Linked DNA regions of Lepisosteus oculatus. The protein of the gene in region 1 binds, or shares a complex with, the protein of each later gene. Links are inferred from orthologs where the notes say so. Each region holds a gene or a part of one and is shown in the gene's direction. Other genes may lie near its edges.

The links.
Region 2: virma (region 1) and mettl14 share a complex: the UniProt entries of both Homo sapiens proteins name them as parts of the WMM complex. The link is inferred for Lepisosteus oculatus from reciprocal best matches to the Homo sapiens genes VIRMA and METTL14.

Annotation. Positions count from the first base shown.
Region 1 is NC_090705.1:7,599,779-7,612,529, reverse strand, and holds the start of virma (protein virilizer homolog), read left to right. Parts: upstream 1-6,190; 5' UTR 6,191-6,205; coding exon 6,206-6,268; intron 6,269-12,751. Other genes in the region: esrp1 (epithelial splicing regulatory protein 1), read right to left, coding at 1-82, 1,313-1,423, 2,465-2,593, 2,953-3,084. UniProt on the Homo sapiens protein: Associated component of the WMM complex, a complex that mediates N6-methyladenosine (m6A) methylation of RNAs, a modification that plays a role in the efficiency of mRNA splicing and RNA processing.
Region 2 is NC_090696.1:11,926,744-11,939,878, reverse strand, and holds the start of mettl14 (N6-adenosine-methyltransferase non-catalytic subunit), read left to right. Parts: upstream 1-6,788; 5' UTR 6,789-6,912; coding exon 6,913-6,978; intron 6,979-9,104; coding exon 9,105-9,193; intron 9,194-9,940; coding exon 9,941-10,028; intron 10,029-10,505; coding exon 10,506-10,583; intron 10,584-10,839; coding exon 10,840-10,927; intron 10,928-12,321; coding exon 12,322-12,412; intron 12,413-13,135. Other genes in the region: prss12 (neurotrypsin), read right to left, coding at 1,406-1,736. UniProt on the Homo sapiens protein: The METTL3-METTL14 heterodimer forms a N6-methyltransferase complex that methylates adenosine residues at the N(6) position of some mRNAs and regulates the circadian clock, differentiation of embryonic stem cells and cortical neurogenesis.

The DNA of each region.
Region 1 (12,751 bases):
GATCCGGCGAGGTGGGGAATTTTTTCTTGAATTCTTTCCGAAGGTCAAAAAAGGAATAGAAATATTCAGGCAGCAAAATATTCTGTATAAAAGAGATTTTTTACATTATTTTAGTTAAAAGTACAAATTAAACTTAAATACATTCACTGGGTACATGTACAGGTTTTACTCATGGCTATTTGCACCAAAACAAAAGTTATATTCGCATCTGCAATTTATTTTTTAAAAATCTATCAATAGTCGCATTACATTTATAGATTCTATACATCAGTGTATTAAGGATATTCATTTTTCTAAAGGGTAATGAACGTTTTGTTTTAGATATGTTTGGATGGCTCATTTTACAATTAGAACTGCAAAGCTTGTCTTGTGTTGCTAACTATTATCTTAATAAAACATGCCCTTCAAGAGTAGCTTAAATACACTTTAAGAAGTTTGAGCCAAGTTAACAGGTTGACAGGTGAATTTGAAAGGCTACATTCTGAACCACAGTGTACATGAACTTTCAGAATCTTAAAGATAACCCAGTTTACCGAATTTTAACCCTATTGACTTAAATGGATGAATAATTATGCAAGGTGATTTTTAAATCTGTCCATTACAAGCTCTGAACTTCACAACATCATATTATTTGAGCTGCAGAAGGACTGGGACTGGAAGAGGAGATCCTACAGAATGTTTTTTAAAAAAACATTGTAAAAAAAGAGTAAATTATGAAATTTCTTAACTGCACCATTGCAACTTTCATAGAGATTGAGGTTCATATTAGGCAGACAACCTGTTGGAAGAGCTGCAGTTATTGGTCATTGAAGATTCTTATTCAAAAGAGTAGCTGTTTTGACCCCTATATCCTGATTTAATTCCACTCTGGATCTGCAAAGTCTGATGTTCCCCCTTATTTCAACTTAAGAAGCAATTTTTCAGTTCTTGAAAGCTGAACACTCCCTGGAGTTCTTTAGGACAGGCTCTCCAACGTCCGTTAATAAGGACTGGCTTGGCTGACCTTAACTGGTCTATCTCCAAGTGATTTTTTTCCTGTGGAGACATCTGAAATATCCGGTACTTCAGACTAAATTATTCCACCCACCTCTGAGGATTTCCGGCAAATTCTTTCCATTTCAGTATTTGACTGTAAAACTGAAGCATGTTTCCAGCTTTAGAGATGGAGACATTGAATGCCTTTAGAAATAAAAGGTTATTAAGAATTTTGGGCATCTTTCTAGACTCATGTGCAATGGTCAGATTAATAAAAAAATACCTTTATTACAATGTTCCCAAACCCAGCATTTCTGTGTGCTGGAGAGACCTTTACCTTATTGGATGCTTCTGGGTGGATGACTTGTCTGATGTGAAGTTGGCCATCAGTGCATAAACAGAATGTCTTCACGCCAATATTTACTTCATTACACAGATGCTGATTAACCTGAACAGAAAAGGAACATTCAGTTCCATTAACTGTGGGCATGTAAATATACAGTATGTGCTCTGGTAGGCATAAGTTTCCCAAGGAAAAGCAATAAAAATGTCAATCCATGGTCAAATATTTCAATATCTCTTAATAAGACAGTTCATAAAAAAAGAACTGCTGAAAAATTGCAAGGGTTAACGTTTCCTTAATCCTGTAAATTATATCCGAAGAACCCCAAACTATTTTCTTTAGTACTCTAACATTGCCTGTAAAAAACGTTTATAAGGAAATTGAAGAGCACTGCCGGAGATGACCTCTGTAAAACCAAAATAACACAGAACATGCAATACCGCTTTAGAAATAAGGCTCTGTTTGCTTCTTTCATTAAACTATTAACGAATGTAATACACTGGAAGTAAAAGTATTTTCGCTATTGTTACTTTATGCCACCTAAGCATTCAGTCAGTAACATGTCAATGACTGCAGGCCAAGGTGAGATGACACCGTTTCATCCGAGTTTAATTATCAGCTCAGTTTCAGGCTAAGAATTCCACGTTGTGTCAAAAACTCGACAGACACTACAAGAGTTAAATTCAGAAGTCGATGTATGTTTACTCGGACAAAGACTCGCAGTAAAAAGCACTTTATACTACAGCACATAATGGCCGCCTATTCCCACATTATTCAAATCCAAATATTTGCATTAAGATTATAATCCTGTCCTTCACATGACTGTATGAGCTTTAAAAAATAGCAGATACTAACACTGCTGGTGGAATGCTCCTCTATTACCGACATCTCTTCCGAAAACTATCACATAAGCATTTTCTTAACTAAATTCCAAAAATATTCCAATTCCCAAAACAAATTATCGGCAATACAACACAAATGGGGTTACATAATTTCTAAATTAAGTTTGCAAGAAAGTGATATAGCTTCCCGATTAAAAAAAAAAAGAGACCCGACAAGGCCACCCACTACACCCACAATAGTTTAAAACAATAAACAATTAATTAATTGAATTTCGAGGGGCCTGAAATTCGGGGAACTGCTCACCTGGTTCAAGGCGTGCTCTAAGGGCTGTGCAGTGGAAACCGACTCCTCTCCAATTCCACTCTCTTCTTTACATTCATCGGTCAGTTCCAAATTTTCGGGTTTAACGAGAATTTCGTGAATTTTTCCCGTCTGAAGAAATTTAAAATATGAATGGATACATTAATAATCATATACTATGATGTACAAAACTATATCATCGCGTTTTCACCCCTAGACAAAAATCACGTTACTCAAACAGGACAATTAGGCACTAAAATGGCTTTCATCGTCGCGTTTTATGTTTTCATTTCACTCTGGCAATATAACTGCAAAATGAATGTATATAGTAGATTCCTGGTCTAAAGTTGAGTGGAATTTAAGAAATCACTTTTTACAGGCACCGTCTTCACAGAACGCCCTTGAAAACAGTCGTTCGGGTTCACCTGGATAGTAAAAAGCACACCATCTGAAAAAAAAAGGATGGCAAAAGAGGACAAACTCCTAGATACCTTCTTGTTCGCCAGATCCACAGTTTGCCACACCAAATGAATTAACTCCTTTTCATCAGATCCCAGTTTATCCCCATTGGCACCAGACGTCGTAGTAAAGAAAATCACCAAATAATCAAAAGTTGCCGTCATGTTGTTCACAGGAAAAAATAACAAAAGAAAAAAAGTAAACAAAACGCACCTAAAAGAAAGAAAACCCTACTGAAGAAGAAAAACAACACCCCCAAAACGAACCAGAGGAAACAACCCTACACCTACAGACACCTTATGTGTCCAGAGCTAGGTGTGTTTGACTGGCTTCAGGTATTTAGTGGCTTTGGCGATTGCGTGAGAACCTATGTAAAACAGGCAGCACCCCCCTCATAGCCTCGTAATGGCTGAACGTTCACTATTTTTTGTGCATTTACCTGTCTGAGACCCACGTGACTCAGGTAATGGATACCTGCCTTGTGCTGGGCTCTATTCTATTGGTGCTTTTAAACAGGGACGTGGCTAGCACAGAGAAAGACAAGCATCTTTCGCCTCAGGACTTGGAGCGACAGAAGTTTTGTATACAGAAGAACAGAGAAATAATAGTGTATGTTTTATTATTTTATAAAATTATAATAATAAAATGCATTGTAATATATGATGATAAAATAAATTAACTTCAGTGTATCATTACAAATTATTTCGTACGGGTATCTAACTGCTTTGATATTTAATGACTCTTACCTCGTAACTTATAACCCATTCTGTCCGAATAACAATTTTAAAATGAGTTTTTAATGACCTATTAAGCTCGGTACTTGTTTTTTTTAACGAAACAATCCTAAAAAAGTTACTCTTTCCTTTCATGCTAGGGGATTTCATATTAATTAATACGATTTTAAAGAAGAGAAGCTCAGAATCAAAGGATAGTTTTTGAAGAAATAAGGTCTTACAAAATTAACAGCAGGCAGTTGGTAAAATTCAAATAACGTATGATTTAATAAACAGTATTTATGTCAAATTAATTTACTTTCAAATAAACATGATATACTATACCTAAACAAGATTAGACCTTAAATGCCTTTGAAAGGGAATTACAGTTTAAATCTGACAATGTATCTAGTTATATAAGTACTGCATATGTGTATACAGTATGAATGCTTTGAGGGTTATATGTAAAATACGCAATTACAAAAATAAAAAAAACAACAACTACAAACTCCGGGTACTCGTCAAGGCGTCACAATTATTAATCCAGTATCGGTCTATAAGAATATCAAATGAGAATTTCTCTTAAAGTAAATTCCAGAAATTAAAAGTGTAGCTTTTAGTCCACGTGCAGTGAGATTACGAGGCAGATATATCTGAAGACAGAGATATGGAAATTGAATAACGTTTTGTGTTTACCGGGTGTGTCCTTGCATGACAGAAGCAGCCATCGGTCTACTACATGTTGCAGACCTAATGATAAAAGCTACTACTTGCTACTACTATAAATGTTAATTTACTTAGGTTATGTGACGTATGCATTTCATTCTTATATGTTTTCTAAGAAACGTCTCGATTTTAAACCCTCTTCTAAACTATAGCCCCATGCACAAATAGCTCCGTATCATGAAATACGAAAAAATGCAGAAAACATTATATATTAAAGACATAAGTACACTATACATAAATGACAAACTCTTGAAGCAATACGTTATTGTTTAATTGCTGAAAAAAATCATATAAATTTAGAATTTAGAACTTATTTATTACTTATTTTTTAATGGTATTGCTTAATGCACAGCATCCCTGATTTTATCAGAAAAAATTAAATCATCCATAGTTTGAGGCAAATCACAATATTTTACTCCCACTGAATGTGAGGCAAATATTGCAAGCTGAGCTTGACCTTAGTGTAAAGCATTTATTTCAGTGGTTCATTATTGCTGAAAAATACAGGCACTAAACAGGAGGCAAGTAGTGTCCCTTTTAAATGAAGACAGTAAAACTGACAACATTTTGTGAAAAATTACATTTACTAAAGAGAAGTGAAAGAGTGTCATTTGCTTTACTAAAAATACTATGCAAACAATTTTAGAGCACCTACAATCAGAAAATGACGGTGCTGATCAGACATGCTTGTAAAATTGATCAGCCAAACCAATGTAAATTAACACATGTACCACTTTGTAGATAAATTTACTTCCATTTAAAAAAAAACAGCTTGGTCTGCAGTGTACAGCAAACAAATAGGATCAAACACCCATGTGAGTAAGGTGTCGGGTTTAGGATTAAAGATTGAAGTCAGAATTAAAGCCTTTTGTCATATGACCAAAGTACAGTACATAAATCCTACTGTGAGACAGGACAATCTTCCTTGGAAGAAGTGTGGCATGGCCACCCGCCCACTGACAAACCGACCAGGATTTGACTGGCTCTTCTTAATGGTCTCTTTCTCCATTATCTGCCTTGTATTCAGCTTCTGAGATAGGCTCTGGTAAATTATGACTCTCCAAAAAGAGAAGTGGCTTTTTGACAGTGGATTTACATACACTAAGGGAGGCCAACCTTGTCTTTCTGAACCATGATCTAACAGGTCTTATAGGTCACTCTTAAATCATCAGTTTCTAAAGACCAAAGCCTACATGTGAGTTTTGATCAATTTAGTTAATTAGTTAATTTAAACAAAGAGTGGCCAGCTGTCATCCTTCAGATCCAGGGGGTGTTGGTATTTTCACTTCAAATCACGCGTCTAAGTGGTCAAAAACAAAAATTCAGTTCTTTAGAAATGAGAGGTTTAACTTCTAAGGATTGCAGTTTTCTAGGACCAGTCCTAGTCACTCCATAAAGAACAACTTGCTTTTCCTTCTTCATAATCTACACCAGAATTTGACATTTTTAGATTTGCATTTGCTGTTAAACAGACATTAATATCACTGGCTCTTGTTCTCCTGTGAGAAACTCATCCTATTCATATCCTTTAGAATTCTAAATCAGAATTAAATGAAAGTCACGTTATTTCTCCAGTCAAAACAGCTGTATTTGGACCTTTATTTACTTTTCAGCAGTTTATTTGATTACCTGTGTTGTATTAAAACAATATATTCATGACAGAAAAACATATTAACTGATAAAATTGCTAAATTAGAATGTTATTGAAAACAGTCTTTAGAAAGCTGAGTGAGCACACAGAACTGTAAAAATAACCGATCGCACATACACTATTGACGTCGAGTTTTAACAGCCGGATGTTATTGTTCCTTTTACCCGGAAGTATATCCTGTTGTATTCAGGAAACATGGCTGCGGACTCTTCAATGGAGCTTCTTTTTTTGGATACTTTTAAACATCAGAGTGCAGAGGTAAGATTTTTTATCGTTGATATTGATGTTTGTCTCTTGAAATGTGGGTGTCTCTTCAGGCTGCGTGTCCATTAGTGATAATCGTTTTTAAAACAACGATGAGTAGCACATTGAGCTCTAGTTTCAGCAAGACCGTGTTTGCATCGAGTTCCTTGTTGTTAAAAAAAAAAATGCAAAATATTTGATTGCTTTTGTTCTGCAATATGACACTATAGACATGCCGGGAAAGTAGTTTGCACATAACTTTTGTCACTGCAACACTGTGTTAGTTTTTTAGAAGCCATTGTTGCAAATGATACTGCCTTGACTGACATAGGGTGCTTTTTTATTATATTTCCGTATGGCATGCTACCTAGATTAAAACTGGAAGGTATAGGTTTAGCTTTACCTTCCTCTGAGCTTGGAATGCTTTAGCATGCAAATGTTTGTTTTGCACAGGCTTTATGAATAAATAACAATCCTTAATCGGCAAATAAAATCATGGCGTCTCAAACGAATCATTTAAGGTCAGATTTCTGAAGAACCGAGCGCGTCGGCTTCCCACTGTCAGTGGAACTAACACAGGGACTTTCGTACTCTAGGCAGAAGGCCCCGGACACTTCGAGACGGGTATTGGCTCATGTTTCCTCAAAATTCAAACAAATCGATGTGTTTATTTCCCCTGATCAGATAGTCTCCACCGCCGATCAGCCTTACTGACTTCCTGCAACGAATTTGTGAGAATTGGAAAGATCTATGAATTAAGAGAGGCCAAAACCAAATGAACAAAAAATGGGTAAATACTGATGGAGAGCAATAAACAACGCTGTGCAAAAAAAATCACGATTGTTTATGTACTGTAACAATACTATGGACTTATTGTAATGCTTATTTAAAAATTAATAATTTAGCAGGGTATTCAGTTTAGCAATCCATTACATTTCGACTTGCAGATGGGTTTTAACTCATAAGAATGGTGCAAGTCCCATCCTAGCTGAAAATGTCGTTTAATCAGCCCTGTCATCTGTCCTGCATAACTACAGGGCTTCCTGAGGGCCTTCAATGGAAATAAATGAACAAATTATTACAAAATTATAAGTCCATTACCACCGTGACAGTAACCAGGGTGTTTGTTTTTTTAAATGAAGCTTTAAGCAACATTATAAATATTATAAATGTACTAGCTCCTTAATAGTTGTGATGATACTTCTCTTCTTAAGATCATGTTTGAAACCCTTGAGTATTGAATCTCTCCTAACATTCAGTGGGTAACCCAGGTTTGGTAACCTTAATACATTCAATATGAACACGATTGTGAAGGTAGCCAGCAAAATTTGAGCTCTTCCCGTTAAGATGTGAATTAAGACTAGCTAGGTTCAAGTGAAATAGAACTAAGTTATTTTTTTTATGTTGTGTTATGTCATTTAGCTTCCTGCAAAGCAAATTTCCCATCTGGGACCATAAAGTAAGTAGATAGATACTTTATTGATCCCGTGAGGGAAATTGCAGTGCAACAGCAGCTTAACACAGACAACACAGCAACAGTGTAATGAATGATACAATAATAATAATACAATACGTACAATACAATCAGTACAGTGAGAAGTGCACTAAGAAGAGTTACTCACAGACCAGAACAGAACTACACAAAAAAGTCGTATTGCACAATATAAATATAAATGTATTGCACAGGTCCCTGGCATATATTGCCCAAAAACGGTTATAAATGGGAAAAAGAAAAAGAACACATGTATCAGTTTACTGTTCAGTCCAGACACAGGTCACTGTCAATGTTGCCTCTGCCCAGACACAAGGTGGATGAGTTGTACAGTCTTATGGCAGAAGGCAAGAATGACCTCCTGTAGCGCTCCCTGTTGCACCGTGGATGGATCAGCCTATTGCTGAACGTGCTCTTCATTTCTACAAGCCTGTCATAGAGGGGTTGGGAGACGTTGTCCATGATGGCCTCTAGTTTGGACACCATTCTCCTCTCAGCCACTACCTCCAGTGGGTCCAGGCCAGACCCAATGACTGAGCTTGCTCTTCTGATGAGCTTGTTCAGCCTGTTAGAATCCCCTGCTCTAATCCCAGAGCCCCAGCATACCACCGCGTAGAAAATGGTGCTCGCTACCACCGACTGATAGAACATATGTAGCATCTTACTTCATACTGTACATTGAAGGACCTGAGCCTCCTCAAGAGGTAAAGTCAGCTCTGACCCATCTTGTAGATGGCCTCGTGTTCTTAGACCATTCCAGTCTATCGTCGATGTGCACTCCCAGGTACTTGCATGAGTCCACTATCTCCACGCCTCTCCCATGGATGTAGACAGGAGTAGGTTTGACCCTTTTCCTCCTGAAACCTACCACCAGTTCCTTCGTCTTTGTTACATTCTCCCCACACCACTCCACAGAGCTGCTGACCAGTCTTCTGTACTCTTCCTCCTGTCCACCCTTGATACATCCCACAATTACAGAGTCGTCTGAGGACTTCTGCAGGTGGCATGACTTTGAGTTGTATTTAAAGCCCGAAGTATAGAGGGTGAAGAGGAACAGAAAAAGAACCATCCCCTAAGGAGCTCCTGTGTTACTTACTACCTGTTCAGACACACAGTTCTGCAGTCTCACAGACTGTGGTCTGCCTGTCAGATAGTACTTGAGCGTCTGTAAGGCAAGGACACAGGAAGGGTTATGAATGAGTAGGGGTCATTTGACCCATCTAGTCTGTTTTGACTGGAATGCAGGACTGAAAAATGCCATGTCAATATGCATTCACTGGACTGGAGAATGCTAGTGCATCCATCCTTTCAATAGGAATTACTGATGATGGGTGTGCATCATGCCAGCTGTATTTATTTCTGTTTGTTCTAAATACATTCCAATTACTGTATATAATAAGATTTGCATTAAGGAGTGATGTTTTACAGGTGATCCAGCAGTTTTGTGATTAGACTGCTAGTGCTTCAAGAGCAACATTGGGAAGAATGACTGTTGATTTTTTAACATTCATTAAATTCTATGTATTACAAAGACAGTTTTTATAAGGTTTTTTTAATATATTTTATTGATTAAAAAAAGTCAAGTAGGACCTTAGTGCCTAAATGAAGTGATTTGCTTCAGGGAGTCTTTATTTGCTCTGAGTCTAAAATTGTCTCAGCCAAAGAACATCACTATGATCTATTATTGATCCATATCAATGGAGCATGAGACCTGGGTGTGGAGTGCAATGTTTCTGCACAGTTGTAAGTCTGCAGAGTTTTTAATCAAGCACTTAGTTTTAATTCAATTGATTTTTATAGCTGTTTATCTTCACTCATCTTTAGTCATGCGAAGATTCAGTATGTCCGTCTGTGCAGTTAAGCTGTTGAAATAATTTTCTCATTTAATGTTAATGTATGGATTTAAAGCTGTAAGCATATATGCCTGAGGCATGTTTCCCAAGTTTTGTTTTTTTACACAGAAAAAGGAGATGCAATATATAAGCAGCTTTCATTTCAAAAGTTCTCTAGGTCTTTACAGGCAAGGCCATGCCCATCTGGAATCTTTGAGTTTTAGGGAAACCAATGGCCGGTATGCTCTATAAAGAATGTACAAATTTTAAAGATTTGTTACAGTCATTGAATACCATCAGTTTACCTTAAAATGGAATTGTGTAATGGACCGCAGGAACTTCATCCCTTCTGTGCTTCCTGGGAGCACGAGACTGGAGATGATGTAACACAGGGCTTCAGCTAACTGGAGGACAGCTGTCTGAACTTATTTTCAAACTCTGAATGGAGAGTAGGAGCATCTAAATTTCTGTTAATTGTGGACCAGGATGTGTTTGCATGAGTCAGTGGTTCTAGATTTGATTTTGCAGTTTTGAAATAAATGCAAAAATATCTTGGATCCAGTGCTTCAATTCCTGCTTTAATTAAACATTTGAGAGAACTGCTCCTTTCGAGAACTGTGCACCTTTCGTCTCAATCTTAGATAAGACCGTGATGTTTTTGAATACTGTATAGGCAATTAAATCAGTGTTATCATACTATCATCATATGATCACATTTCTCCTAAAAAGCAGCATAGAAAAGAACCAGCTTGTACTGCCTGGTTTTAGAAACGTGTATATATATATAACTTTGTGGAAATCTGGGAAAAAAAACTGTTTTCGCAGCTAAGAGAATGCTATTTTCCTTCTTAAATCAGATGCAGCTTCAATAAATAGCCATGAACGTACCAGGCAGATTCAAGCATTTGCAGCATGGTGATATGCTGTTTGAGCTATTCTCTAGATTTTGTTCAGTGAAGGTCAGCACTCCGAACTGATGGAGCCTCCATTGCAGTTATTTCTGGTTGAGTGCTTAAGGGAAATCTGAGCAGACCCAAGAAACAATTTAGAACCGGTTATGCCTGATTAACCGAGTTAATATTTGACCGTTAATACAGGTATTTAACTTTCAACCGTGTGCCTCCTATTACAATTCATTTACTATATGTTAAACGGCTGTACTTTATTTTAGTGAATTGCGAACGTTTTATTACTTTGTTTTTGTTACGGTCTTCATTCTGTAGACATTTAAAATGGTATTTTTATTTAGTTTAAACAAAAAAAATTAGCTGGAGAAGTTTGGTCACGTTAGTTGTTTTTTATTTAAGTAGACCCTCATTCGCATTTAGATTTGGGAAAATAAGACTAATTTATTTGTCTCACACCTTTATCCAAAGCAATTTACATTTGCACCTATTTATACAGCTGGGTATTTTACTGGAGTACTTCAGCTGAAGTACCAGGCTGAAGGGTTCAACAGCAGTGTACTCTTCTCCCACTCATCTGGAATCTGAGCTTACAAACTTCCTGCGTGGAGTCCAGAGCCCCAGACACGTCTCTCTGAACAGAACTGTTCCATTTAGCTGGAATGTGGGTGTTTTAACTCAACACAGTTTCTGACTTGTGGGGGAAATATTCATTCAGTGCCCTTGCTTCCTCTTTTACCTAAGAAATTCCACCATTATCTTCGATACTTTTGCATGAATAGGTCGTTGGTAAATTATCTTCTTCCAAGAGAGGTGATCTGATAAGATCTGCTAACAGTCCATCTCCATGCAGGCCATACAAAGAAAAGTGTTCAATAGAAATGAAGTGAAGCAGAGAGCTGGGGCTCCTTATTTCAGATTCATTTTAAAATCTGAATTCAGTTGAAAAATGCGAGAAGTACCCTGGAATCCCTGATGCCCTGGAAAGATGTGTTTCTTCTGCCTTTGATGTTTCAAACACAGGACAGTCACTTACTGCGAGCTTTGATGGAGATCTATTTTGATGCCAGGAATTCAGCTTGTTGGAAAGTACAGGAGCAGATTTACTAAATCTAATGAATGCAATAACATAAGTAAAAGTTCTACAGATATTTAAAAAGCAAAGAAGATTTTGTATTGTAATAAATTAGCTTGACAGAAGAACAACCCATAAAATACATATGTAATATATATTTGTTTTTCTTTCTCAATAGCTGGTACTCATGTCTGCTCAGACATAAACCTTTCTCTCACACCACGTCTTGTGTACTTTGAACTAATAGAAGCAGTTGTCTGTAAATCAGATCTTTTTATATGTTATTCAAGGCTATTTTGTAGCCTAGAACAGGTAAACTGGACAAAACAGGTTTGTAGGAGATTCTTGTGGTTAGTCCGTCCTTTCAAGTTCTTGTGCTAAGTCAACAAACAGGCTTGTTTCTTGGCAAGAAAACCACGTTAGAATCCACACCCCCATTGAACAAGCACGACCCACCACTGCCTGTTTTTCATGCAACAACTGGATGACTTTTGACAGGTGGTATACATGAGTGTGTACCAGTGTGAAAAGGGTTACACTGACAGGCCATATCTGGGGTTATGTATTACTTTAAAGTGGCCTCCAACAATTTCTGATTTGAGTTTTGACTCATGTTTTAACTTTGACTTCAGTTAATCTATATCCTATAAGTTTGAAGAGTACCGATGTAATACAGTCGATTACATGTTGACTAAATTATACCGGGTTATACTGACGGCTTCTCACATAATATTCTATCGGTACAAATTGTTAACTTAAAAGGAAGATAGCACGTCAGTTGCTTAGACAGAAATCTTGATAAAACCTTTATGTAGAAGACTATCAGTGATCATTGACTACTGATAGGTCAAGCATTGATATGAATAGACTGATGCATCACTTCGGTTTTAGCTGTAAATGGTTTGAAGAGAGGTTGGCTTACACCCAAGTGCTTTATGACCAGGCTTACATCCAATTAGCTAATTTTTAATTATCATCCTGAACATTTTCAACTAAGGAAATATAGTAAGTGACATATATATATATATTTGATGCTTCTTGGTAAGGGATTAGCATCATAATACTTTGATTTTAATTAATTTTAAATTTCCTTGTAAATTCAGAGCACTGAAGAGGCAATCATATTTGCGGAGTGCTACAGACAGCTTTTCGTCTCCCCTTTATTTAATAAATATTTCTGCTCATCGTGAGAAT
Region 2 (13,135 bases), on another chromosome or scaffold:
AATATCATAAACATAATGGACTGAAGTTGTAGAGAAAATATACTGTTCATTCCTGTCATAATAAGTTAACTGAAGTTGTGAAAAAGTAAAAACTAAATTTTAATACACCTGCTTCAAACCTACATATAAAAGAGATGTCTTAAGTCAAATTTAAAATATAAAAATATTTCAACTTTATCTGAATTGTTGTTTTTCTGAAATAATTATTTAAAAATAAGGCTTCCAAGCATCTAGAGGAAAATATTGTTTTCAGTAATTAAAAAAATTTTCAATGACAGCTGGGAGAAACAGGACAGTAAACCCTGAAATATTGTTTTCTTTATTAATGCCCTTTTCATTGAGTATTTTGTTCATCTGAAACAGATCTTAAATTGTACTTCCCACATATTTTATCAAATAAATATAACATTTTGGTATGCTGAAACATATTTTTTCTGTTTAGAACTGTGAAACTTAAACAACCAGCAGCATTTTCAACAGTTGCATACCTTGGACTTCACTCAGGATTGTAATAAAGGAGTTGACTATGTGCTTGGACTTGCTTTTCTTGTCCTTTGCACCTGACAGAGTCTGGGAAATAACAGAAGTGTATATCTGAGGCCATTTATTAAAGGACTCTGTTGTCATTTATAAAGAAGCAGCTGTTGCAAGAAGATCTGAGCCACTTGCCTAAGAAAAATAATTGTTTTTCTTATAAATTATTTTAAAAATCAGATAATAAGATCATAGTGTACAGTTACTATTTCATTTTTTAAAAGAGTTACTTACATGTTTTTAGTAATTTGAGTGAAGGCTTGATTTTGCTTGTTTGGGGTATTCAGTCTATTGCATTCACTAGTAACCTCATTACGTGTCTTTAAAAAGGTGATGAGTATAGTGAAATACAAAATGTCAGTGCTTCATTCTTGTGATTGAATATCTGAATTTTTTACCTCCTCGCAAAGAACACAGAATTGGTATTTAAATATTTCTTGTTAAATCAACATATGTATTCATATGAATAATTATATAATATTATATAATAAACAAATAATATGATCATTTCCGTGTGGGGTTGTTGTACATGTTACGTGTTTAAAACAGCTAAAGTATCACTGCTTTTTAAAAAATAAATCAGTACAACTTTGCAAATATAAATGTTGTTCCATGCACCAGATGCCGGAGTGTTAGCATAAAAAAATTTGGTAAAAACAGAAAAAAAACAACAATAATAGTATCTGAAGATACTCTTTACCTCATGTCTGTAGCAAGCTTTTTTAAAACTATAAAAATAAACTAAAAGCTCTGCTCAACAGATAAACTATTACTGCTACTCCAGGTACAATTAAACACCAAAGGAAATTTCAGCTGAGGTTTGCTTCAAGACATACTATTGTACTAAAACTGTTTGAAGTATTGTATTTACCTTGTTTGCAGTCGCAGTAACCCCAGTCTATTCTTCCTCTATTGTTCCTGAAAAAACACCAAGGTCTGATCCTGCCATCGGGGTTCCTGCAGAAATTGTGGCGACCCAGTCCTTTTCTAGGGTATCTCTCCTCGAAACCGGTGATATCGCTCCAGTTCATACACTTAACACCAGACTCTGTTACATCTATCGATCCGTCGTAGTAACCTGCTCTGCCTTTGCTCTGAATGCAGTCGGTAAAGGGTAGAATGAATGAGACATCAGAGCCAAAACAGCATACTCTGGTGAAAAAAACTGAAGCAATCACTGCAAGAAACCTTGACCAGCTCATGGTGCTTTTAAGGCTGTGTTCATCACTCCACTGCAATCAATTAAAGCCCTTGGATCTGTGAGCAGCACGATCTCATAAACCTGTCCATCGGATCATTACATGTCCTGTATCCAAATCCGCGAAGGAACAAAATACCGGGAGATAACTCAAGTAGATCAATTCAGATGTGCCAGAGACAACCCGTAGCGATACGCCTCCCGCATATTGATCATTCCTGACGAGAACTAAGTTTTTTTTTTTTCACTTTGAGAAAGGAGCTTTCTTCGCACTTTTTCAAAATGAATAAAAATAAGATGACATGCGGGACACGAAACAGGAGAACAAAAAGAAGACAAGTATGTTTACGTGCTTAAAAACAATTCGCAACATTGCTGAATCGTCTGGGTAAATGTTTTCTTATAAAGTTTAACTTATTAAATATATTTAATAAACTTCCTTTAAAATAAAATTAATTTGCGTTATACATTCCTCCAAAATATGTACAGTTCCGGTTACGTTTTCATTTGAGTAAAATATTTAAAGAAAAATCCCTGTAAGTAAAACACTGACGCACATTTCAGCTTCAGCAGTTGTGCCAGCTGCATTATCTACAGCATCTGCATGCAACCCATGTTAAGTCTTGAACCGTGATCAATCCATTTACCAAATTATAGTTTTATTGCTTGTCAGCTTGTCCCCATGTCCTTGTCATGTACGTCCATTTAACGACGGAAAAATCAATTTTCCCAGATCTGTATGTCTGATTTTCTCTTTAGCAAAAATAATAGGTCCAAATCAGTCCACTGAAAAACTTCTCCGCTGACTGCTCCTGACTTGCACTGCCAACAATTCATTTTCTTCCTCCAGCCACTGCCACAAAATCGCTGAGTAGCGCCCCCGACTCCAACTAGCTGTAAATTCACATCTCAAGAACACATCCTTACAATTGTGATATTTGCTTTGCCTTCCTTTGTTTGGTAGAGTATACAGACGTGTTCTGTTCTAACAAGCAACCCAAACTTTACAGAATGTGGGTATTTTAATAACTCCTTTGTATGAATCGACCTCAAAAGAGCAGGCTATTTGTCTAAAACGTGGTTATTTAGACTACATTTTTATATACTGTACAATATATCTTACCACGTTAGAATAAAATATAATGTCTTTTAAATTCACTGGACAGACCTGAATGAAATATCTTGCTTGATGATACAAAAAACTGAGGCTCAGTCAGAATTTTACACTCCAGTCTATAATTCAGAGCCCTAACCTCTACCAAACGCTAATACAGAGCACATAATTTTAGGAAGTACTTTAAAAATACATTTTTTTAAGCCAGAGGCTTCAAGTACTTTAGTTTATGCCAATAGATTCTAAAACATACACAATGCTAAGCAATTTCTATTTGTTTTTTTTTAATTAACCTATTTAATGTATATATCTGCAAAATTAATTTCAAAAGCCTAGGAAAGCATATTATTATATAATATTAAAGAATCATACAGTTGTAATTTATTGCAGTACTTCTACTAATAGTAATCATTTCATTTTCTAACAGTTTACTCCTGTTGAAGATCATGGTGTTGACAGGTGGAGCAGGGCAGACCAGACTTCCCTTTCCCCAGCAACAGTCTCCAACTCCTCCCAGAGGATTCCCATGTGCTCCCAGGCCAGCCGACAGATATAAACCCACCAGTGTGACTTAGGTCTGCCCTAGGGTATCTTCCCAGTGGGCCGTGCCTGGTACACCTCCAGCAGGAGGTGCCCAGGGGAATCCTCACCACATGCCAGCAGCCATATCACTCTGCAACTCACTGGCAACCCACTGAAGCTAAGCAGGTGTGAACCTGGCCAGTGCCTGGATGGGAGACCTCCTGGGATAAACTAAGGTTCCACCCCATCACCCAGAGAGAGCAAGTGACTTGTTGATTGGGATGCTGTTTCTCCCAGTCATGCCGCTCCAGGTTTTTCCATCATTCCCCAGATGAATGTTGAAATCTCCCAGCAGGACAATGGAGTCAGAAAGTGGTGCCCACGGTACATAAGCACGGCAGTCAGAGTTTTCCTCTCTGCAATATGCAGTACAGTATTTGTTCTCATCCATCATGACAAATTCCAACTGCACGGCACCCAGCCAGGGACTTGTGAGTATCTCCACACCCACTCAGACTGTCACGGGAGCTGAATCTAACTCCCGAGGAGTGTGTTGTAAAAGACCCTATGCGTGACGGTATATTCCGGAAGTGTCTGGAGGCGTCAGGGAAGGCACAGCGAGGTAAGGTCAGGATGACAGACAGGGGGCCGTGACTGAGGTGATCTGGCGCATGGGGGGAGCGCAGGCAAACAAGTCCAAAGGAAGTCTAAAGGGGTAGTAAGGCGCAGTCCAAAATCCAGAAACCAGGAGATCCATCGGAGACCCAGATGATTAAAAACAGGAACAGGGAATTGGGACCAGGAACACAAAAGGTTAAAAGCATAATGGGGCATGGGACTCAGAGGAAAGGACGGCATGATGAAGCCTTTGCCCTCGGGCCACTCCTGAGCCCAGTGGTAGGTGGGCTTCCAGGTGTCAGTCTTTCAAAGCTGAGCCTGGAACTACAGAAACACTGGGCTTAAAGAAGGGAGAGGCAATGAAACACAGCTAACACTAATAAAACTAAGAACATTACAAGAATGGTAGGAGCGCCCTCTAGAGGAGGGATGATGACCGTGACACAGACCAGACATGCGAGGGACAAAGACCACCCCTGATTGAGAATTGTGGTTCCAGAACCAATACTGTATATAGAGGTAAGACCGACTATATCTAGTCTGTACTTTTCAACCTCCCATACCAGCTATGGCTCCTTCCCCAGTGAAGTGATGTTCCACAACCCAAGAGCCAGTTTCCAGTGCCAAGGTCTAGTCCATCATCCAGATCTTTCCCACTCCATCTCATTACCCGACCCCCATCCTTCACTTTGGGAGTGGCAATCCCACATGGCAGCTCCATGTAACCATTTTGAGTTGAGCCTGGCTGAGTTGTGTGGGTGATCCAGACACCAGGTGTTTGCCGGCAACATCACCTGGCCTGGCTCCAAGGGTGAGTCCTGGCGTCCATGGTCTGTGCAGGGTTTTCTCAGTTCGTAATGGAAAAACATCCCAGTCTAGCGTGCAAGGTTCTTTGTCTGGCCTCTCATCTAAGACCAAGTTGCCAAGGGTAGCCCTACCAGAAGCACAATCCACCTGACAACATACAGTACAGTAGTTCAGTAGCAGGGAGTAAACTCCCTGTGGCATTCAAACTCCTCCACCACAGCAAGGTCATGATTGCAGGAGATGAAGAAAGGTATGACATATATAGTAAGTGGAGAAAAATTGCTCTTTACACACCTCACTGTTTCAGTTTCAGTGTAAGAAATTCCAATCCTGTTCTAAAACATTTTATACTGTTTTATCCTGTAGGAAGTACATTAGGACATACTTCTATGTATGTTAGGACATGTTTCTAGTGTCATTTAAAGAACACACTTTAAGAAGAGCATAGATTTCTTTGTTGTTATGAAAACGTTCAAACAAAATATACAGATGCAGATCACTTGTCATACCTGTACTGAAATAAAATTTATTATAGTTGATAAGAACGGTTAAAATAAAAATGTTATGATTTTTATGTGGTTGATTAAGTCAGAAAAAAATAAGCATTACAATTGAATAAAGTTCTAAAAATTGTATTTCTATGTAGCGATTACACCTTCACCCAAAATCATGTGATTTACTCCTAAGAAGGCACATAAACTATTAAATAAAGGTGGTTTATTGTTAATAAACATTTTCAAGACTATTGTTATTTATGCAATCAAGACCTTGAATACTTTATTCCTATAACATGTTAATAATAACATGACCTTCTGCTTGTCATTAGTAATCATTATAACATTATAGGCATTCATAAGGCAGATTTACACTATTACTACAATCATTTTTAAAATAAAGTGCCCTGACAGTATTGTTTTTGCTGTAACACATTTTGAAAATGCACAATATTATCAATGTTTACGTCAGTCTTATTTGTCAGTCTTGTTAAAATGAGTAATAATTGTAACAATACTCATAATCACAAACCACAAATTATAAACCACGTTTGTTACATGACAAAAGCTTCCATTTCATGATTTAAGCTTTCTATACCGCCTATTCAGCTCTTAAGCAAATGTACTGTATGCCATCTTTGCTGAAGTATTCAGCAGACATCCATAATACTGTTTAAAGTTCAAACAGTGACCAAATTATTTTAGATTATGTGCATCGTGTGCTATGAATTCTACTTCTTGTTGCTGCCGACAGCTGTGTTGCCATTAACAGTTGCCCCGGGTTCATTTAAGCTTAACGTTGTTAAGCTAAAGGTTGGTTTTGTATTTATTACCTTTTTGTTTTGTACTTTTTTACTTTGCTGTGTTTAACAAAGATAAATTGTGTTAACCACACAATTATCAGAATATGTGATTTTCCTTTGTATATCAACTTTGTTAAATTTCTAATCCTCCTAGACTTTGGATTTTTGCGAACCACCCTCCTCTGCAGGGCTGAATAAAGAACTGTTTCTCCAGAACCCCGAATCGTCAGTGAAGTTCTTCCATGTTCATAAATCATACTTTTGTAATTTCTTCTTCCGTTTTGCATCTGTTGTATATTGCTGCATACAGCTGAAGACGTACGGCAATCTACTGTCTACATGCCAGTTTGCGCTGCAATGAGATTTAAACTCTTGTACACGCAACAGAACAATATACACTGATAAAAGGGGGATAAAAAAAGTAATATTGAAATGAAAGAACCACTATTATTTTTTCGACGACGTACCCTTACATGGATAATTTGTAAGTGCATTATGTTTTGACCAAAACCTATGAATGTTATACAAATACCTACAATCTCCTATATTGTTAAAATCTATTAGTTTTTTAAAAAGTTTTTAGTTCTTTTTTTTAAATAACTGGCCAATATTTGCATCTCTATCCTTTTTGAGTGGTAAGTGAAATGACCGAATAGCCAAGAAACATCATTTTAAATCACCGTTTTCTGTTACCCGGAAATGACGCAAAATATCCGCGACTCGTGCTGCTTCTGAAAGAAACGCAGGAGGGAAGAATTGGAATTGGAACTAAATGAGGATTCAGGCATTCTTTGAGAACTTTTGCTTCGGTATCGATAAAAAATGAACAGCCGTTTACAAGAAATAAGGGAAAGACAGAAGCTTAGAAGACAGCTTTTAGCACAGCAGGTAAGGAAGAACATTTGCTGTTTGTTCACGTTACGAAAACAAAAGATAGCATAGCTCCCACTCAAATTGTGTTCCAGAATTATGTGATTTGGATTATTTTTGTAGGGGATTAGTTAACAATTTTTATTTGTCAGTAGTTTAAGATCGTAATAAGGTGTTAACCGTAGAGAAGTTAGATTCACAAGAGAGCGAGTTGAGATAAATTACATCAAATTCAATATTGCTAAAAAACACAAATTCGCGGGTGTATACAGATCTCTAAAGCATTACGGCATTGCCCTTGGGAGTTGGATAAATATTTACCGTTCCAGTTCTGTTTTAATGATGAATTATATAATGAATAAATAGATAATGAATAAAATCGATACAAGCTTGTGGGGGCATAATTGCACCTAATTCCAATGTAAATTGACGTTAATAAATGCTGAAATTTTTTGAGTGGAGATTACATGTTATCATATTTTTGCTTGCTTTATTTATCTTGTTTATAAAATTAAACATTTTAAATGGTTTAACTAATGAACAGTAAAAACGTACTGTAGTTTTACGTCATTTAACTTAAATGATTTGTTGATCACGTGAGAAGTGCTGTTCTTTTTTGCAACAAAAAACTTTTAAAAAATCACGTGGTGGCTTAAAAGTATCGGGTGCTCCGAGTTTGATATTGGAGTCGAGTTAAAATTGCAAACAAAAATTGATTACGAATCTGCGCCAACCGCCGTTCAAAAATACAAATATAATTAATGTCAGAATATGAAATATCTGACCATGGCCTGCTTGAGAAATGAAGACAGCATGTTTGCTATTGGTGTGATTGGAGGTGACCTATCAGTAAAAGAAGTTGCCTGGAGAATGAGATGTTCTATTTCAACAATCGGCTCACTAGTCCAGAGAAAAGGGGAACCAAAATGCAGGCCTGGGGGGTGGATTTTCACTATGTCGGCCAGGACAGTCACATCAATCTGATCTATCTCCATAATTGTTAATAAACTGTATTGAGAAGCAGCAACGGACATTCCAGGAAGATATCACAGTAGAATAACTAGCTCACAAATTGCATGAAAATGATCCCCATACTCCATTCAAGTCACTGAGAGTAACAGCGATGGCTGAGACACAGAATTGCTGTCTTCTGTGGGCCGGAGCACATTTGTGGAGGCAACCGAGAGAGTGATGGACAGTTTTAATCGTGGATGAAACCATTTTTCCCCTTCAGAGACCTGCCAGAAGACATGCGAGAGGATGTCATTGCTAACATTGCATTTTTCAATCTGGGGGGTAGTAGAAGTGAAATTTCCTTCAATGAAAAAATGTCTTGGATGCAGATTAATGCAGACCAATATATTAACAAGGTCCTTGATACGACAGGTTTTCTGTAAATAAGAGCCAATCCAGGTGTCAAGTTTACCATCAGTACAATGAAAGACTATCCAGGGCTAGGATTACTGTGGCAAGACTTCAAGAAAACAATGTCCAAGATCTTGCCAAGGACAGCTTCTTCTCCTGACCTTTGTGTAATTGAACATGTGTGGGGGCAAATTGCTAATGCCATGGACAGGAGACAAACACAAACCCTCCAGCATTTCCTAGCTGGCGGTTGGTGCATAGAAAAGGGAAGAACACCATACATCACTGTATCCCAAAACTGGTCAAGTATTGTCAGGATTGTGGTAATGTTAATGGAGCTCATGCCCAATACAATTTAATTCATAACGTTCTTATTTTAAAAGTACATTACATATAGTGAAATCATGATTTTGTTCATGTCGTCTGATTTAACGTAATATTTGTCTAAAAAAAGATTAAATATAAAAAAAGTTGCCATTGTCACTCACATTCACCACCAGCTATGCAACAATGCACAAGATGTAAGATTTTTTCTAATGGAAAATCACTGAGTTGAAAACACTTTACTTGTGTGAGGGGAGTTTTTTCCTTTGCATCTCAACAACTTGTGGCAACTTGTAACGGGGGGCCTATATTTGTTATCCTAGAGCACTTTTTTTTTCATAATTGGAATTTTGGAAGATTGAAAGATTCCATGATATCAATTTGCTGAATCCAAAAGAACACAGTCGAACAAATTCTGCTAAGGTAATATACTGTATTTATACCGTTCTTCACAGCTAGGAGCTGAGAGTGCAGATAGCATTGGTGCAGTGTTGAACAGTAAGGAGGAACAGAAAGAAATTGAAGAAACCAGAGAGACATGCAGGTAAGAAAGAAACACTTTCATGGTTGTGTACAAAAATTGCTACAAATATTTGCCAGGCTAGAAATATGTTTGACAAAAACATATTTGGTTACATTTGGATAAATAGTTTAATAAGCACCCAAAGGTACTTTGTTAGGTTTATTATTGTACCGTTATTTGGGAACATAACATCTAACATGATTGTCCAAAAACTATACTATTTTGTTTATTGAACATGTTCTTAATATTGGCAGGAGCATATGATGATCCAATTCGGTATCGTCCTACATAATTATTATTCTATCTTTTTGTTCTTAAATATTAGAATAAGCCTCACAAGTTTGGATTTTTGTATTTCCTAATGTTTTAATCAATAGTATATTTATTGATAGCCGAGCATTTCTTTAGTCTGACATTTAACCCGTTTAATTGAAAAACATTCTTTCTTCCTCCATGATGTCAGATTATCGAATTTAACATCTACTGATTCACACGGATGCTGAGTTTTATTCAAGTTGTTTTATTTAACTTTGTTGTTGTAAACTGAACTCTGACTCTCATATATATATACTCTATATATGTCTTTATTTCTGTATGCAGTGACCTGTTCCTTTTCCTGATTCTTTGATATTCTGAATGTTAAGACAGTCTTTCTGCCAAGACTAGCGTAATCATTGTTTCAATGCCTTCCTTTACTGTCCCTGAGTCTAGTTTACAAAGATCTAGGACTCTAGAATATTTTCTCTGATGAATTTTTCTCCTGCCAAGGGCTTCTTATGACACTTCTTCACCTTCTACTAAACGCAAGTGTCAGAATGAGGGAGAAGACCCTGAGGAGGCTGTTGAAGAGCAAAAGGTAACATTGACAGTCTTTTTCTTTTGGTTATGTATTTTAAAGATAGACAAGAGACAGAAAGTGACTAATCTGGAAAACACCTTCATGGTTTACTGGGGTTGTTTTGTTAAAATCTGAATTTTGTTAAAATCGCTTTAGCTAGAATGTGTTTGCCATGTTTTGCTTTTTGGTTGCATGTCAAGTGCTTTTGGGTGTTTGTATTTTAACTGGACTTTGCTTTTTTTTCTTCTGAGAAAATGTTGGTCGTTTGCAAAAATATCATACAAAATTTACTTTTGGATAAGAAATAATAAGGAAAACAATATGTGCTGCGTTACATCTTTCTAGCCACCTGCGCAGTTTGAATATGACAGATCCCTGGATACCAAAACAACTCCTCAATACTAAATCACAATCCTTAAATTTGTGTTTTGTTCTTCCATTAATTTGATGTTCCATTCTTTACCTTTATTTGAAGTTTCTTTTATTATTTGCAAGGATGAAGTAGAGCAACAGCAGCCTGATGAAAATGTGCCATATGAAGAAGTGTACAAGGATTCTAGTACATTTTTAAAGGTGGGCTCCTCAGATTAGTTTCAAGGACAATATGTCTTCGTACAAAGAGGGTTTTGTGTTATCACTTTACAAGTAGTACAATTAAAACATCTAGATTCTGTTAAATATATTTTAGATCTGTTATTTATATCTTACATTGCTTGTAAATTGCTGTGCGTTTCACTGCTATATACAGTGCTAATAAGCATAATGTATTAGTCACTTGAAAAAATGATAGTATCTCCGATGACACTAAGTTGACCAATTTTTGTTTCAGGGAACTCAAAGCCTGAATCCTCATAATGACTACTGCCAACATTTTGTGGATACTGGTCATAGACCACAAAATTTCATTCGCGATGTAGGTATGTAATATGTAAAATATCTGAAGTTAAAGCGTATATAATTTTTTTTCTCTTCATAGCTTTTTAATTTTTCTTTTTCATATTTCTATTTTAAAACGAGTTGGTTACACTTACTGATAATGTTGATGTTTGGTTTGTGCAGTGCTGCCAATAAAATGTAAATTATACCTATGGATTACTGTTCTTTTTACCTTACCCTCAAAATGTATTCATATCAAGTTGATCAAGCAAAGATGTGCATTAGGATTTTTTTAACATTTCAGAATAAAAACATGGTAAATTTATGATTGTCATTACACAAATTCACCACAAAATAATGTTAGATATATCTAAATAAACACCGTGTCAAAGATGAAAATATAATGCTTTAAACTTTAAACATCTTAGGTATCAAAGGAAATTGAACACAGAAGTAAACATTCTGTATCATTTCAACATGTGAAAATGAGATCATTGTCTCAAGATCTAAGTTAAAAGATCAGTGACCTAATCAATTCCATAAGACATCTTGGTTTCAACTGTGCTCTCCAGATCCAAGATGTTGAAGTGGGTGGTTGTCACTTTACCAGGAACAGGATATAAGAAAATTTTACCCCAGTGTGCAGATGACATCTTGCATCTGGAGCGTGTGGTAGCGTTCTTTGGCGACATAAAAAGACACACATTTGCTAAACAAAATAATTGACTCCACAGCTGAAGGGAACCACATGATGTGGTTGTGTGAAATGTAAATTACATTTTTGGACTGTCTCATCTGGAGTATTATTAGCATGGAAGAATGAAGCTCGTGTTGAATGTTATCTCTTCAAGTAAAAGTGGAAATGGCTTTGTTCTGCATTAAGAGTTATTTGGCACCGTCCTCGTGTTCCCGTTAGGATGGCAGAACAGGTGGATTTCAAAGCTTACCAGGATATTTTTACAAAAAACTGGTGCTTTCTGTTGTTCAAGCTTAAGCATGGTTACAAGTGGATTTTACATTAAGGCAGTACAAAGCATACATCATACAACATGACGAAAATGTTAAGAGCTTGAGAGGTCCTGCATGGAGGAGTGGCCAAATATCCTTCAGGAGTAATTTAAAAACCTTATAATTAAAATGCTACTGGCAACACTTCCTCTTGGTTAAAGGCTTAAGGACTGCAAAATACCGATTGCTCTAATAGGAATACATTTGATTCATTCGGCAATATATACAGCTGTTTTTGACTGATGTATTTATACATATGATAATGAAAGTCATGACTTTAGTTTTGGTCTTGGGGTTTGTTTCTATCGGAGTGTATATTTTGGTTTTCATGACAAATCACCTTATAATTACAGGTGAGGATTTAAATACATTTGGAGGCTATTGTATATGAAATTGATTCGGATTTACATTTGTCCTGTTGTTTCAGGTCTTGCTGATAGATTTGAAGAGTATCCTAAACTCAGGGAATTGATAAGATTGAAAGATGAATTGATTGCGACAACAAATACCCCTCCCATGTAAGTTTAATACACAAATTCAAGTGCTGATATATAAAAGAATGTTTTAGTAAATTGATAGAGATTAAAATATTTATCTTTTTTATACACGTTTAGGCGCAGCTCCTGAAATGCTTAAGCAAAATGTACTAATTTATGATAGTCATGAGTGAATGCATATCGAGCATTTAATATTAGAAAGTATTTAAATCAGTGGTTCTCATTTCTGGTATACACTATTGTCTTGTTTCGTTTTGTTTCAGTTAATTGAGGTAATCCAAGTCTAATTTATTTCCATCTTTGTTAAGTCTTTTTTTTTAATTTGTGTTCAGCTCTTGAAAAGCTGAATGAGATTTGTAATTGGTATGAATCCTGTGTTAATTAGTGAGTGTTAGTACTGCCCTCATTCAGGTGTGCCAGCTTAAATATAACCTTAAGCAGAGAGAAAAGCATTGAATAACTAGGAGCTGTCTAATACAGTTTAATTTCCTCCTGTGTCTGTTCATCATCAATTAATCACCCATCAAGAGGTGCTCAGAAACAAGGGGGCATATTTATTAGCAAGCTGAGGAGAGACTGCATAAAGTTAAATGTGCTCGAGTTGTTGGAAATAAAGAACCTAAGAATAACGTACTTTTCTGAAACCGAGCTAAAGAAAGTAGATCAGTTACAGGTACCAATTAGCACGAGTAAGGGCCCAGTCCAAACAAAAACCAGCAAACACAGAGGAATTCCAAAACCAGT